Macaca mulatta: one gene and its partner. The protein of the gene in region 1 purifies or fractionates together with the protein of each later gene. This does not show direct contact. Links are inferred from orthologs where the notes say so. Each region holds a gene or a part of one and is shown on either strand. Other genes may lie near its edges.

Region 1 (6,004 bases):
CAGATATTGAAACTCTGAGTTTGGGTTTTGGTTTTCTGCCCTGTGGAACTATATGGTTCTCTCACAACTATGAAAGCTCTGGTGGGCTCAACAATGACACCTTTATCCCATGAGATATAAAGGAATCGGCACTTTGCGCCAGCAGCTATGTGTCTCTTTTCTTTATTAACCCATTTAGGCTCAGTGTTCCATTATTGGAACGCTAAGCTTGTGGAAGTTATTTCTATCCTGCTGTTCAAGGTCATCACCAAGGTCTGACTTCACACACAAAAAATGTGCAACCTCTGGCATAAATGGGTTAAGCACACAACTGGCTTTGGGATTGTAGGAAAAAATTTAAAGCCAAGAAAATAAAAATATGTTCTTCCTGATTCTTTCTGCTTATGGTTTAAGTTCCTTCGGATTTTTGTGCAGTATTAGCTATTTTTTAAAATAAACTAAAATATAAAACAAGTACTCAATGAAGTCTGTTTTGCTAAAAAAGATTAAAAACTGTGGTCTTCATGGTTGGCATACTACATTTTGAAGAGTGAAAAGGACATTAGTTACCCAAAATTTTAATTCAAATTTTAAAAATTTGAATTTTGCATTTTGAAAAAAAGGAATGTTATAATTCCAATATGCAGATAACCATTTGTTCACTAACCTAAAGCCAATAATATTTTAAAGTTGTTTGGTTATCAGTGGTTACAGTTAAAGATGTATGCATTTGAACAGTGGTGCTATGTTGTCATAGGTTTAATTAAACAATTTAAATAAATACTAATATATTTTAGAGAAATTACACTCCTCCACTTTCTGAATATTGCAGTTTCCTTTTGCATAGATTTAAGATTCTGCATATTTATTAAATGCTAAAGTATGTGATTTTCCTCTATAATTGCCTAGAAATCTTTTCCTAGCCTGGGTCACAGGATTCCATATGATAGCAACTATTAAGACAAATGTTTATTTTTAATCACCACATGTTCAGACAAATATGCAGCCAAGTTATCATCTAGAAGGACAGGAAATGAAAGTATTTTGTTTGGAGAACCTCTGGCAAACCGCATGTCATTTGTCATATCTGATTTATTACCACAGGATCACATTACAGGGGAACTTCAAATCCTCTAACAACATCCAAGATCGCATACTTTAAGAGGAAGTATGTGGAAGAAGAGGATTTTCACCCACCACTCAGCAGCTGTAGCCATAAAGTATGTTTTTTTTTAATAGTCATTATTTTTATTAAGAGTTTAAGATACTTAGTAACAGTTGCTTGATCCACTTCCAGGAATTAAATTGTTTCACCCAAGCAATGAAAATGAGCCACTTCTCAGTGGAGCCTCATTAATCGTTGTCACTTTTTTGGGTCCTGTGTTATTTTTCACAAGTACTTGAAGAAAAAGCTGGCAAGAGCTGTTCTACCCAGAAATGTCAAAATTATGTAATCCAAGGAATTTTTTTAACATATGATTTAATATTTCTCAGACTGCGTTTCGGGTTATGGTTCTTCCGCACTTTTGTGTGGAATGCTTGTTCTTTCCCGTGGTGTTCTCCCCAGTCTAAGTTCTGGCTCCTGCAGCCAATGTTACTTCTGTGTGTGTCCACGTGGGGGTGGTTACGCAGAGCTTTTCCTGACCTTTTGTGGGTAGACTCACCATCCTTGAATGTGTGTATGCAAGTAGAAATATGCACTTCCCTGGACATTGGTTACATATAAGTTGTTGAAAAATATACTTCATTTCCAAGAAAAGACCAAAGCTAACTTTTTTGTAGGTATAGTTAAAAAAAAAAAAAAAAAAAACAAGGTGGGGAAATTGCATAGAATTATGAAACTGGGCACCTAAACTTTTGAAATATCAGTTTGTTTTTCTTTAGAGTTACCTTCCTTCAATAACTATCTGCTGATTTAATTGAGGCAGGTATAACTGCAGACCATAGTTGTCTGAAATGCAGAGAGGATTTTCAATTCGTCTTCCTCTCTGTCTTCTCTTGTCTTCCCCCTCTGCCACCTCATCCTTTAGAGGTTACTTTTACCTTGCTCATGAAAGGACAGCAGAATGCATTGGTAGGTACTGGGCTTTTCCCTGCATGTGTAGTCCCTGCCTTTGGTCAGTATGGGCTGGTTTAGTTCACAGCTCCTCAGGTTATGCTGCCAGTTTGCTTTTTTGATGACCTGGAATAGCTGGTCCCCCGGACACAAGCAGTTTATTTCCTTTTTAGTTTCTGTGTTGTGGTTGTAGCAGTTTCCCAGTTGCTACTGGATTTGCACCAACCATCACATAGTGATAGTGTCACACAGCTCAGGAGTGAGCCCTCTCAGTTCCTCTCGGCATCTCATCTCCCACTCAGCTCCGCAAGGAAGCCTACTTTGGTCCTTCAACTGACAGATTCTGTCAGGGCCTGAGCCTCATTCATTATTGTGTCCTCTTATCAAGCAAGGATAATTGCAAGTATGAAACCCAAAGGATTAAAAGAGGGACAGTATTAAAAGCCAAATCTCATGCTCCTTGATGGCTAGACCAGGGTTTGAAGTATATTCATTGTGACTTGCATTTTGACATCATTTTAAAAACACGTATTGATGTATAATATATGAGTTATGTGTCTGTGTGTATGTGTATTTGTGTAGACACACATAAAAAAGTACAAGTATCACAGTACAGCTTGATGAATTTCATGAGGTGAACATATCCATGTAACTAACATCCGGGTCAAGAACCAAAACATAACCAGCAACCAGAATCCTCCTTGACCTGCTTTTAACACTACCCTTTGCCCCACTCACCCCAACTCTGAAAGTACCTCCTCTCCTGACTTCTAATAGCTTAGATTAGTTTTGTGTTTCAGCATCTTCCTTACTGGGCCATAATAGATCAAACCACCTGAACTGTCCCTCCTGAGGTCTGCACTGTGGCTTGATTCCCTAGTGCTTGGCCATACCAGTGGATCAGGAAGTGGGTGGGCACTCCAGCCAAGTGACAAAAGGGAACATCGGCAGAATGGGGGACAGCCTCTCTAAATGAACCTTGGGGAACAAGACCACAACATGCCCAGACCCAGACAGTGCCAAGAAAGAAGTATGCTATGATGGTGTTTTCTTATAGTCCATTTTCTAAGCTTTCTCTCTTCCTTTTTTGTTTTTTTTGTTTTGTTTTGTTTGGTTTTGGTTTTGGTTTTGGTTTGTAGACCATCTCAATTTTTGAGGAACGAGCCCACATCCTTTATATGTCCTTAGAAAAGCTAAAGTTTATCGATGACCCTGAAGTATACCTCCGAAGATCTGTCCTTATAAACAATTTGATGAAAAGGATCCATGGAGAAATTATCATGCAGAATAACTGGTGCTTCCCTGCCTGCTCTTTCAATGGCACCTCTGCCCAAGAGTGGTTTATGGCTCAAGACTGCCCTTACCGAAAACGACCACGGATGGCCAAAGAGGAATGTGAAAAGTTTCATGCCTGCTGCTTTTACCAAGAATGTGGTGGCCACTACCTAAATGTACCCCTTTCTGTCAATGCTAATGTTGGAAGTGCCTCCACCGCTGCCTCCTCTCCCTCCGTCTCTTCTTCCTCCTCATCCTCCTCTTCCTCTCCCCCTTTGTCTCTACCGAGTTGTTCCCACCAGGTGGATTTCGATGTAGGCAGTGCACCTGTTTACAAGAGTGATGGCCAGATACCTGCCAACGAAATCTTTGTCACTAATGTCAGATCACTTGGTGTTCAGGAAAAGGCCAAATTAAATGAGGAGAAAGCAAATAATGACACCAACAGAGATGGTGGCCCCCTCAGCCATGAACCTGTGGGAAATGACCTTGCTTTTGAGTGCAAAGGCCAATTTTATGATTATTTTGAGACCGGATATAATGAAAGAAACAATGTAAATGAATCTTGGAAAAAGTCCTTACGGAAAAAGGAGGCTTCGCCACCAAGTAACAAACTGTGCTGCAGCAAAGGAAGTAAAATATGAGCCATCTTCTCACCGAACTTTGAAGCATGCACAGCATGATCAGTTAGCTCTCATAAATTTTATTTTGAATGGATTTTGTACAACTGATAAAATTATGCCATGAACATGCCGTGTCGTTTTAATGCCTGGAGAGCAGATTGCATAAAACATCTGTATAGTAGGCATCAGCGAGCTTCTTATAAATGTGGTGATTTTTACCAAGGAAATGATTGACTTAATGCTTAAAAGTATATCATAGTTTTCTGACAGAAAAGACCAGTAGATTAGATTGGGGGACAATGTGCCCTTGCAATATTTCCATTGCCCCCCAAGGAGCCTGTCACTAGCTAAGAAATTTCTACATGTTTGCCGATTAATTAGGGAGTTATTTGGTAAGCAAATCAATATAACCAGCAAAGATACCTGCTTCTTCTATATGATATAATTTTGTTTTTAAATAAAAGACTGAAGACAGGGAGCTAGATGAAATGGCTTAATGGTGCTGTTAAGTATTTGTACCTAACAGTCTTGCGTGACAGATGAAAATAGGATGTAACATAATGAAACACACCTGTCTAGGGGCGGCAATCAACAGTCTTACACAGAGAGGGTATTCCCTGCAAGTTTCTGGCTTGCCTGTGATGGGTGATGAGGCTTTTAGAGAGGTGTTATACAGGGCGATTTTTGGTGCCTTACTTTATCTTAATTTTTGCCAATGTGAAAATTAAGGATAAATCAGAGTTACAGCAGGGATTTAACAAACAGGAAAAAAAAAAAAAAAACAGGGTGGATCAATATGGTGTGGAAACTGTTAACTTTGAACTATTGTGTTCAACTTTTGATTCGACATCTCTATTCTTCCTTTATTTTTGATGCCCAATTGCTTTTGGATTTGGCATTTTTTCAATAGGGATGGAGGAAATGAGAGAGAGCTGTTAGAAAGCAGCACGGGCTGCTCGAGCTTTTCTATGGCAACTGTCTGTTGCTGGGGTTTGGGTTTTCTGGGTTTTGGGTTTTGTTTTGTTTTCTTGTCCAATGAAGTTCACGAACCAGTGGCATGCATTATACTTTTCTCTGTTTTGCATCATTTCACTTGTTTAGATTATAAAAGCATGTGGGTTTTTATATATGAACTTTGCTGTTGATTAAGAAGCACAATGTTATAAATGATGTGGTGATCATTAAGGTTTATCTTAAAGAATGTAAAGACTTTAGTTTTTTGAAAGTTATTTTGGAGAAATGGGACTTAATTTATAATAGTTACTATGTATTTGGTCTACATTTTCCAAATAATATCTTTAATTTGTACGTTTGAAAAGTGTTCAGAGTGGCCCTCCTACCATCCTTCCTTCCACTCCAGCCAACTCTTCCTGCCATTCCAGTTTCCAGGTTTACTAATTGACTTGGACCTGTTTAAACAATACTTCACAGAAACCAAATGCCAAATGGAGGAAATAAGTAAACCCTCCCAGTTTCTCCAAGATAAAGCTTTTTTATTATTGCTATTAATATTAAATATAGGTCTCATTCATACAGTGTATGAGTAGGATCATTTGGACAATTGTCCACAAGGACCAATTTTTAAAACATTTTCTTGCGTTATAGCTAAATACTCTAGTAATGTTTTGTCCTTTATTTTCAATATTTGATAAACATTTGATGTTCAAAACTTAGCTAATAGATGCTTGTATATGAATGTGTTGTAATAAAGTGAGGTTTTCTTGATATATATTTATTAAAATGATAAAAATTCATTAAGATTTTTAAAAATTTTAATGGCTATTGGCTATGTTTCTCTTTTCCATTATTCTCTCTCCTTTAAAAAACTCAAAACATCTAGAAACTGTAATGGATAGTGGCCACACAGGAGTTTTCTAAATTAAAGAGTATTTTAAAATGCCAATCTGACAGGTGTTTTAGAATGATCCTAGTTTGTAAGTTTAAGTTTCTGTTGATTAAGAAGCACAATATTAATAGATGATGTGGTGATCAATAAGGTTATGTCTGAAAGAATGTAAAGATTTTCCTTTCTGGAGTGTGTCTGAAAAAAATTGTATAGCATGAAGCCGTA
Region 2 (5,989 bases), on another chromosome or scaffold:
ACTATGTCGATGAACTTATCCTTCCTCCCACCAGCAGGATCCCCTCCTTAGGAGCAGGGAGAGCAAGGAAATGGTGTGGAATTCTCTTTAGCAGGATGGCGAGGGCGGTGAGCCTCTGCACATCAGCACTGCTCGCCCCGTCCCTCATGGCGATGCATATTCCTTTATTCACCCGACTCCTCGGGACAGGCGGGCCCCTGGAGGGAAGCAGGGCCTGGTGGTTCTCTGTCCCAGCTGCTTCCGTGGCTACCTCCTGCTGTGGTCACACAGTCCCTTTGGAAGGCCAGGGCTTTCTCTCCTGGACTAACAGAAATTACAGGAGGGCATTGTCTTTTCTTTTCTTTCCTTCTTTCTTCTTCTTTTTTTTTTTTTTCTGAGACGGAGTTTTGCTCTTATTGCCCAGGCTGGAGTACAGTGGTGCGATCTCGGCTCACTACAACCTCGCCTCCTGGATTCAAGCAACTCTCCTGCCTCAGCCTCCCGAGTAGCTGGGATTACAGGTGCCCACTACCATGCCCAGTTAATTTTTGTATTTCTAGTAGAGACGGGGTTTCATCATGTTGGCCAGGCTGGTCTCAAACTCCTCACCTCAGGTGATCCACCCGCCTCGGACTCCCAAAGTGCTGGGATTATAGGTGTGAGTCCCCGCGCCCGGCCAGCAGGGTATTTTCATGATGATTGGGGCAGAGCATAAAAATGATCTTAGCTCCTGGCCTGAGTCTACGTGTTGGTGGCAGCTGACATGTGAGGGGATGTAAGAGACCCCAAGAGACAGGGGAATAGAGGCAGGTGTGGGTTCCCTTTCCAGGGAGTGATGGCTCTGTAGGCTCTGGGCTTGCTTTCTTTTTTGTCTGTTTGTTGTTTTGAGACAGAGTTTTACTCTGTCACCCAGGCTAGACTGCAGCGGTACAATCACAGCTCACTGCAGCCTCTGCCTCCCCAGGCTCAGGTGATCCTCCTGCCTCAGCCTCCCGAATAGCTGGGACTATGGTCATTTAAAATTTTTTTTTGTAGAGGTGGAGTCTCGCTATGTTGTCCAGGCTGGTCCTGAACTCCTAGGCTGACGCGATCCTCCCACCGGGGCCTTCCAAAGTCCTGGGGGTATAGGCATGAGTCCCCACACCTGGGCTTATTTCTTGAGAAGAGGCTCGTGCTCCTCCTCGCCTGACGCCTCTCCTTCTCCCACCAGCGTCATCATGACCGGGGCCTACAACAACTTCTTCCGCATGTTCGATCGGAATACCAAGCGGGACGTGACCCTGGAGGCCTCAAGGGAAAGCAGCAAGCCCCGGGCTGTGCTCAAGCCGCGGCGTGTGTGCGTGGGGGGCAAGCGCCGGCGTGATGACATCAGTGTGGACAGCTTGGACTTCACCAAGAAGATCCTGCACACGGCCTGGCACCCGGCTGAGAACATCATCGCCATCGCTGCCACCAACAACCTGTACATCTTCCAGGACAAGGTGAACTCTGACATGCACTAGGTATGTGCAGATCCCGGCCCCCACCACCCAGCCTTGCGCAAGTCATCCCCGACATGATCTTCACGACCGCAACGCAAGGAGGGGAAGGAAGTCACAGCGCCAACGAGGACAGCCGCAGAGGTGGCAGTGTGTGGACACAGGGAGCCTGGGCCCCCATCCCTGCCCCAGCTTCCCTAGGCCAGAATTGTGTTTGGCAGTAATTGTCTGTTTAAAAAAATAAAAAGGAAAGGAAGCGTTCACCGCCACAAATCATAAAATGGACATGACTGTGGAGTCTTACAGTTCAGGGTTCTTTCATTCACGTCCCTTCACCGTCTCGGTCTGCGGTCTTTACCACATCGATAGGACTTTTTATGCGTCCGGGTTAATTTTTCACTCCAGTGCGTCCTGCTGCAGGGGCCGGAGCTGATGGGAGCTGCTTCCCCCCCATGCCTCACCGGTCCCAGATCAGGGCTCCAGGGACAGATGATGAATCTCAAACGAGCCAGCCAGGGGGTCTTTTGGTTATAAATGGAGCAGTTGGCCCTGTCTGAGAGCTGATGATCTCACCTTTGTATTTCGGAGGGTGAATTCATGCTGAGAATTTGCAGATGCAAGCTTCTTTCCTAGGTTTTCTGAACGTCTTGAAACATCCCAGGTCCCAGATCTGGTGCAGTTTCCCGAGAGGAGCGGGGTGGGGTTTGTCTTCTGCGTGCCTGTGTCCCCTCATCTGATTCACCTGCCGTTTGCTGAGCCTCTCCTGTGTGCTGGGCATGGTGCTCAGCCCTAGAGGCTGTTGACTTACCCCCTGCAGCCCTCCCTGCAGCCGCTTTCCCCTCGCCCTTCAGCATTCACTGGGCACCTTCCTGGAGCGGACACTGGCTCCCATTCACGATTTTTTGGAATCTTCCTCCTGACTGCGAGGTGGGTGTTCATTCATTTCCATCATAAGCACCAACTTCTTGAAGCGTGCCAGGCTCTGGGCTGGATGCTGGGGATAAGAGGAAGCCTTAGGATCCCCTCTGTCCACGAGAAGAAACTGAGGCTCTGAGCAGATGCACAGGTCACCCATGGCAGGCGCCCGCCAAGCAGTGGTGTCAGGAGCCCGTCCGGGTCTTCACACAAGGTTCTCTCCAGTCCATCTCGTGGGTGGCTCATGTTTAAGTGACACTCGAATGGAAGGTTTGGAAAGGAATGCCTCTCTGTCTTGGAAAATAGGACATGGCAGACTTGGCTACGACAAGGGTCCAGGAGAACTGAAACGCAGGATGGAAGATGGAGAAGACCCCCGGAGCTCCTTGCTCTGCTTGGTGGCTTCAGGAGTACAGCCCTCCCCGGGACTCCACTTCACCCTGGGCTTGCACCCTCCTTGAGCCAATGCACTGAACTGCCTCTGAAAGGAAATTGCATGTTCTGACCATTTTAGGATACCTTTACTTTAAGGACCACACAGTCCCAGAGGACGTGTCCCTTGGGAACTCTGCCCCTCTGACAATGAGGGCGACAGAGAAGGTGGTGTTTCCATGGTAGATGCTCCTGTTCTGATGATACCACACCTGCCCACCCCTCTGAGTCGTCTTTGCTCATGGACTCACAGCAGAACCACGTAGTTTGGCATTTTGATTCAGAAAGCGAGGAGCAGAGACCCAGCCAAATCCAACCATTTTGTTTTGTTTTGTTTTTTACAAGATGTAACATAACCCAGGAAATAGACCCAGCTGAGGTTATTCTCAGTGGATTACAGTATACTTTTGTGTGTGTAAAAGCACAAAGTGCATGTGTACTCACTTCTGGCCATATAACATTTACACAGGGAAATGGATCACTGATTTTTTTTTTTTAATCAACGTGAATGAAGAATGTTTGTTTATATATCACTATAAAATCCAGTTGACCTGGACAGTATTATATGTACATATCTATTCTAATTAAATTTAACAATCAAAGGATTGGATTACTTTTTCCCCCTTGTAAAGAGGTTTGAGAATGTGGTTAATTGTATAGATAGCGTGTTGAAGCCAAAACCCAGCTCTGAGGGCCTTACCAATTACTTGGATATTTGCTACGATCCATCTCCCTTTGTGAGTCAAATGTTAAGAGAGGAAACTTGTATTTGCAGCTAGAGGTTACTGTCACATCATAGATTTAACATTTACCATCTTCAAAGTACGAATCTTACATGTTCTTCAAAAGGAAGTCTTAATACGGTTCCTAGTTCCTTACTTCTGTTTTAAACTTTGGGTACCAAACCAAAAAGGAGAAAAAAGAAAGGAAAAGATCTTCTTTGAGAAAAAGTATGTCTTTGGATCCCTGGAAAATAATGATGTCCAAAGCGAATTGTGAAGATAAAATGTGTGTTAAGAAAAGGTGTCAGTGGGAGGGACAAAACCAGAAATGGCGGAAGGACCAGCATAATAGTCACAGACTTGCATCCCTGCTCTGCTTACATTTTCTGGTCTTCTCGAATGTACGGGCGTTCACATGGTCGTTGTGAAGTTGTTGGGTTTTTTAAATTTAGCTCTTCTCTGAGGACGAAGCTCTTGGTGATGGGGGTGGTGGTGGGGGTGGTGGAGGTGGTGGTGGTGGAGGTAGGGGTGGTGGTGGTGGTGGTGGTGGTGGTGGTGGTGGTGGTGTGGGATACATGGTGATCAAGTTGTCAGCCCTGATCAGTTTGGACTCTGTAACTCATAGGTGCATTCTTTTTCTCTTTGGTGTCTCACAAATTACCCAATTGTTGAATAAAACTATAAATATGTTAATACCAGCTTTTTCCAATAAAATAACAAATGTTACATCAAAAACGAGGCCCAGGATGCTGTTTGTTTTTAATGAGTCCAACCTCATGGAGGTGGAGCCCATCGGGAGGCAGTACAGCAAGTGGGGATGCCCATGGGCTTTGCACTGGGAAGCTGGGTTCACATCAAGGGTTTGCTGCCTCTAGCTCCTAATTCAGCTCTTAACTTTCCCTAGCTCTGAATTCATCACTGAGGAAATGGAGCTACAAGGACTCCCTATTTTGTAGGTTTGTGGTGGGAGAGAAAGGGCAAGATTAACTTGGATAGTGCAAAACACAGTGCTTGGCACACAACACTCCGTAATGATAGTTGTCTTGTTTTGTCTTGCATCAGGTGTGCACGGCCCATCATGATCTCCACACACACACTCTCCATGAGAATATGATACAGATGAGGAAACTGATTCAGAGAGGTTGAAGAATTAGCTCACAATCACACAGGTAGCACATAACTCCTCATTCAGTTCTCCCCCACAGACGTGCCTGAGGGTCCCAGAGAATGGAAGCCTCGGGGGAGAGAAACGACAGGGTACCTGGATTCTTCAGGAAGCCAGAGAGGCTCTGCCCCACCTGCCACAATTGCTGAGCTAAACAGGAGCGTGTGCGGGTAAGTTTCCCTGCACCCTGCCAGGAGCCAGGCCCTGCCTCTGGCTTTTTTTTTTTTTTTTTTTTTGAGACGGAGTCTCTCTGTGTCGCCCAGGCTGGAGTGCAGTGGCCGGATCTCAGCTCACTGCAAGCTCTGCCTCCCGGGTTTTTACACCATTCTCCTGCCTCAGCCTCCCGAGTAGCCGGGACTACAGGCGCCCGCCACCTCGCCCGGCTAGTTTTTTGTATTTTTTAGTAGAGACGGGGGTTTCACCGTGTTAGCCAGGATGGTCTCGAACTCCTGACCTCGTGATCCGCCCGTCTCGGCCTCCCAAAGTGCTGGGATTACAGGCTTGAGCCACCGCGCCCGGCGCCTCTGGCTTTCAAGAGGGAGTTTTGGGCTTCAGGTTCAGCAGGAGGAAGGCAGGTGCTGTTCTGCGGGTCTGCTTTATTGGGGCTTTATTGGCGCTCAGTTCCACAGCTGCAACCTTTAGCTACAGTGCCAAGTGGAATCTAGTTTTCAAAACTCTGATAATGAATATCTGCATAGTGATAAGAGAATATGGAAAACATAGCCATAGAAACACATGGAGACGCTAAGGAAACCATGGAAATTAGAAGCATGATTGCAAAAATAAAGATCTCTGCAAAGATTGGAAGATATGGTTGAGGAAATTTCTCAGGAAGTAGAACAAAAAAAATCAAAGAGAATCCCAAAGAAAACAGATGAGAAAAAGGGATAACCTTGGCCAGGCACGGTGGCTCACACCTGTAATCCCAGCACTTTGGGAGGCCAAGGCAGGCGGATCACTTGAGGTCAGGAGATGGAGACCAGCCTGGCCAACATAGTGAAACCCGTCTCTACTAAAAATACAAAAATTAGCCGGGCATGGTGGGGCATGCCTGTAATCCCAGCTACTTGGGAGGCTGAGGCAGGAGAATCGCTTGAACCCGGAAGGTGGAGCTTGTAGTGGGCCAAGATTGCGCCACTGCATTCCAGCCTGGGCGACAGAGTGAGACTCCGTCTCAAAATAAATAAATAAACAACAAAGCTAACCTCCTCTAAGAGGTCTCAGCACACAGATGTGAGGAGTTCAACAAAGAAAATGGAGGCAAGAAAATATTCAAAAGTTTTCTGACCTGAAGAATC

The links. The genes of interacting proteins can lie anywhere in the genome.
Region 2: the proteins of SERTAD4 (region 1) and PPP2R2C purify together in Homo sapiens (affinity purification with mass spectrometry; 3 studies listed by BioGRID and IntAct, counting the BioPlex papers as one, with this or other methods). This does not show direct contact. The link is inferred for Macaca mulatta from reciprocal best matches to the Homo sapiens genes SERTAD4 and PPP2R2C.

Annotation. Positions count from the first base shown.
Region 1 is NC_133406.1:67,977,135-67,983,138, forward strand, and holds part of SERTAD4 (SERTA domain-containing protein 4), read left to right. Parts: intron 1-1,083; coding exon 1,084-1,199; intron 1,200-3,174; coding exon 3,175-3,954; 3' UTR 3,955-6,004.
Region 2 is NC_133410.1:6,711,514-6,717,502, forward strand, and holds the end of PPP2R2C (protein phosphatase 2 regulatory subunit Bgamma), read left to right. Parts: intron 1-1,189; coding exon 1,190-1,481; 3' UTR 1,482-3,732; downstream 3,733-5,989. UniProt on the Homo sapiens protein: The B regulatory subunit might modulate substrate selectivity and catalytic activity, and might also direct the localization of the catalytic enzyme to a particular subcellular compartment.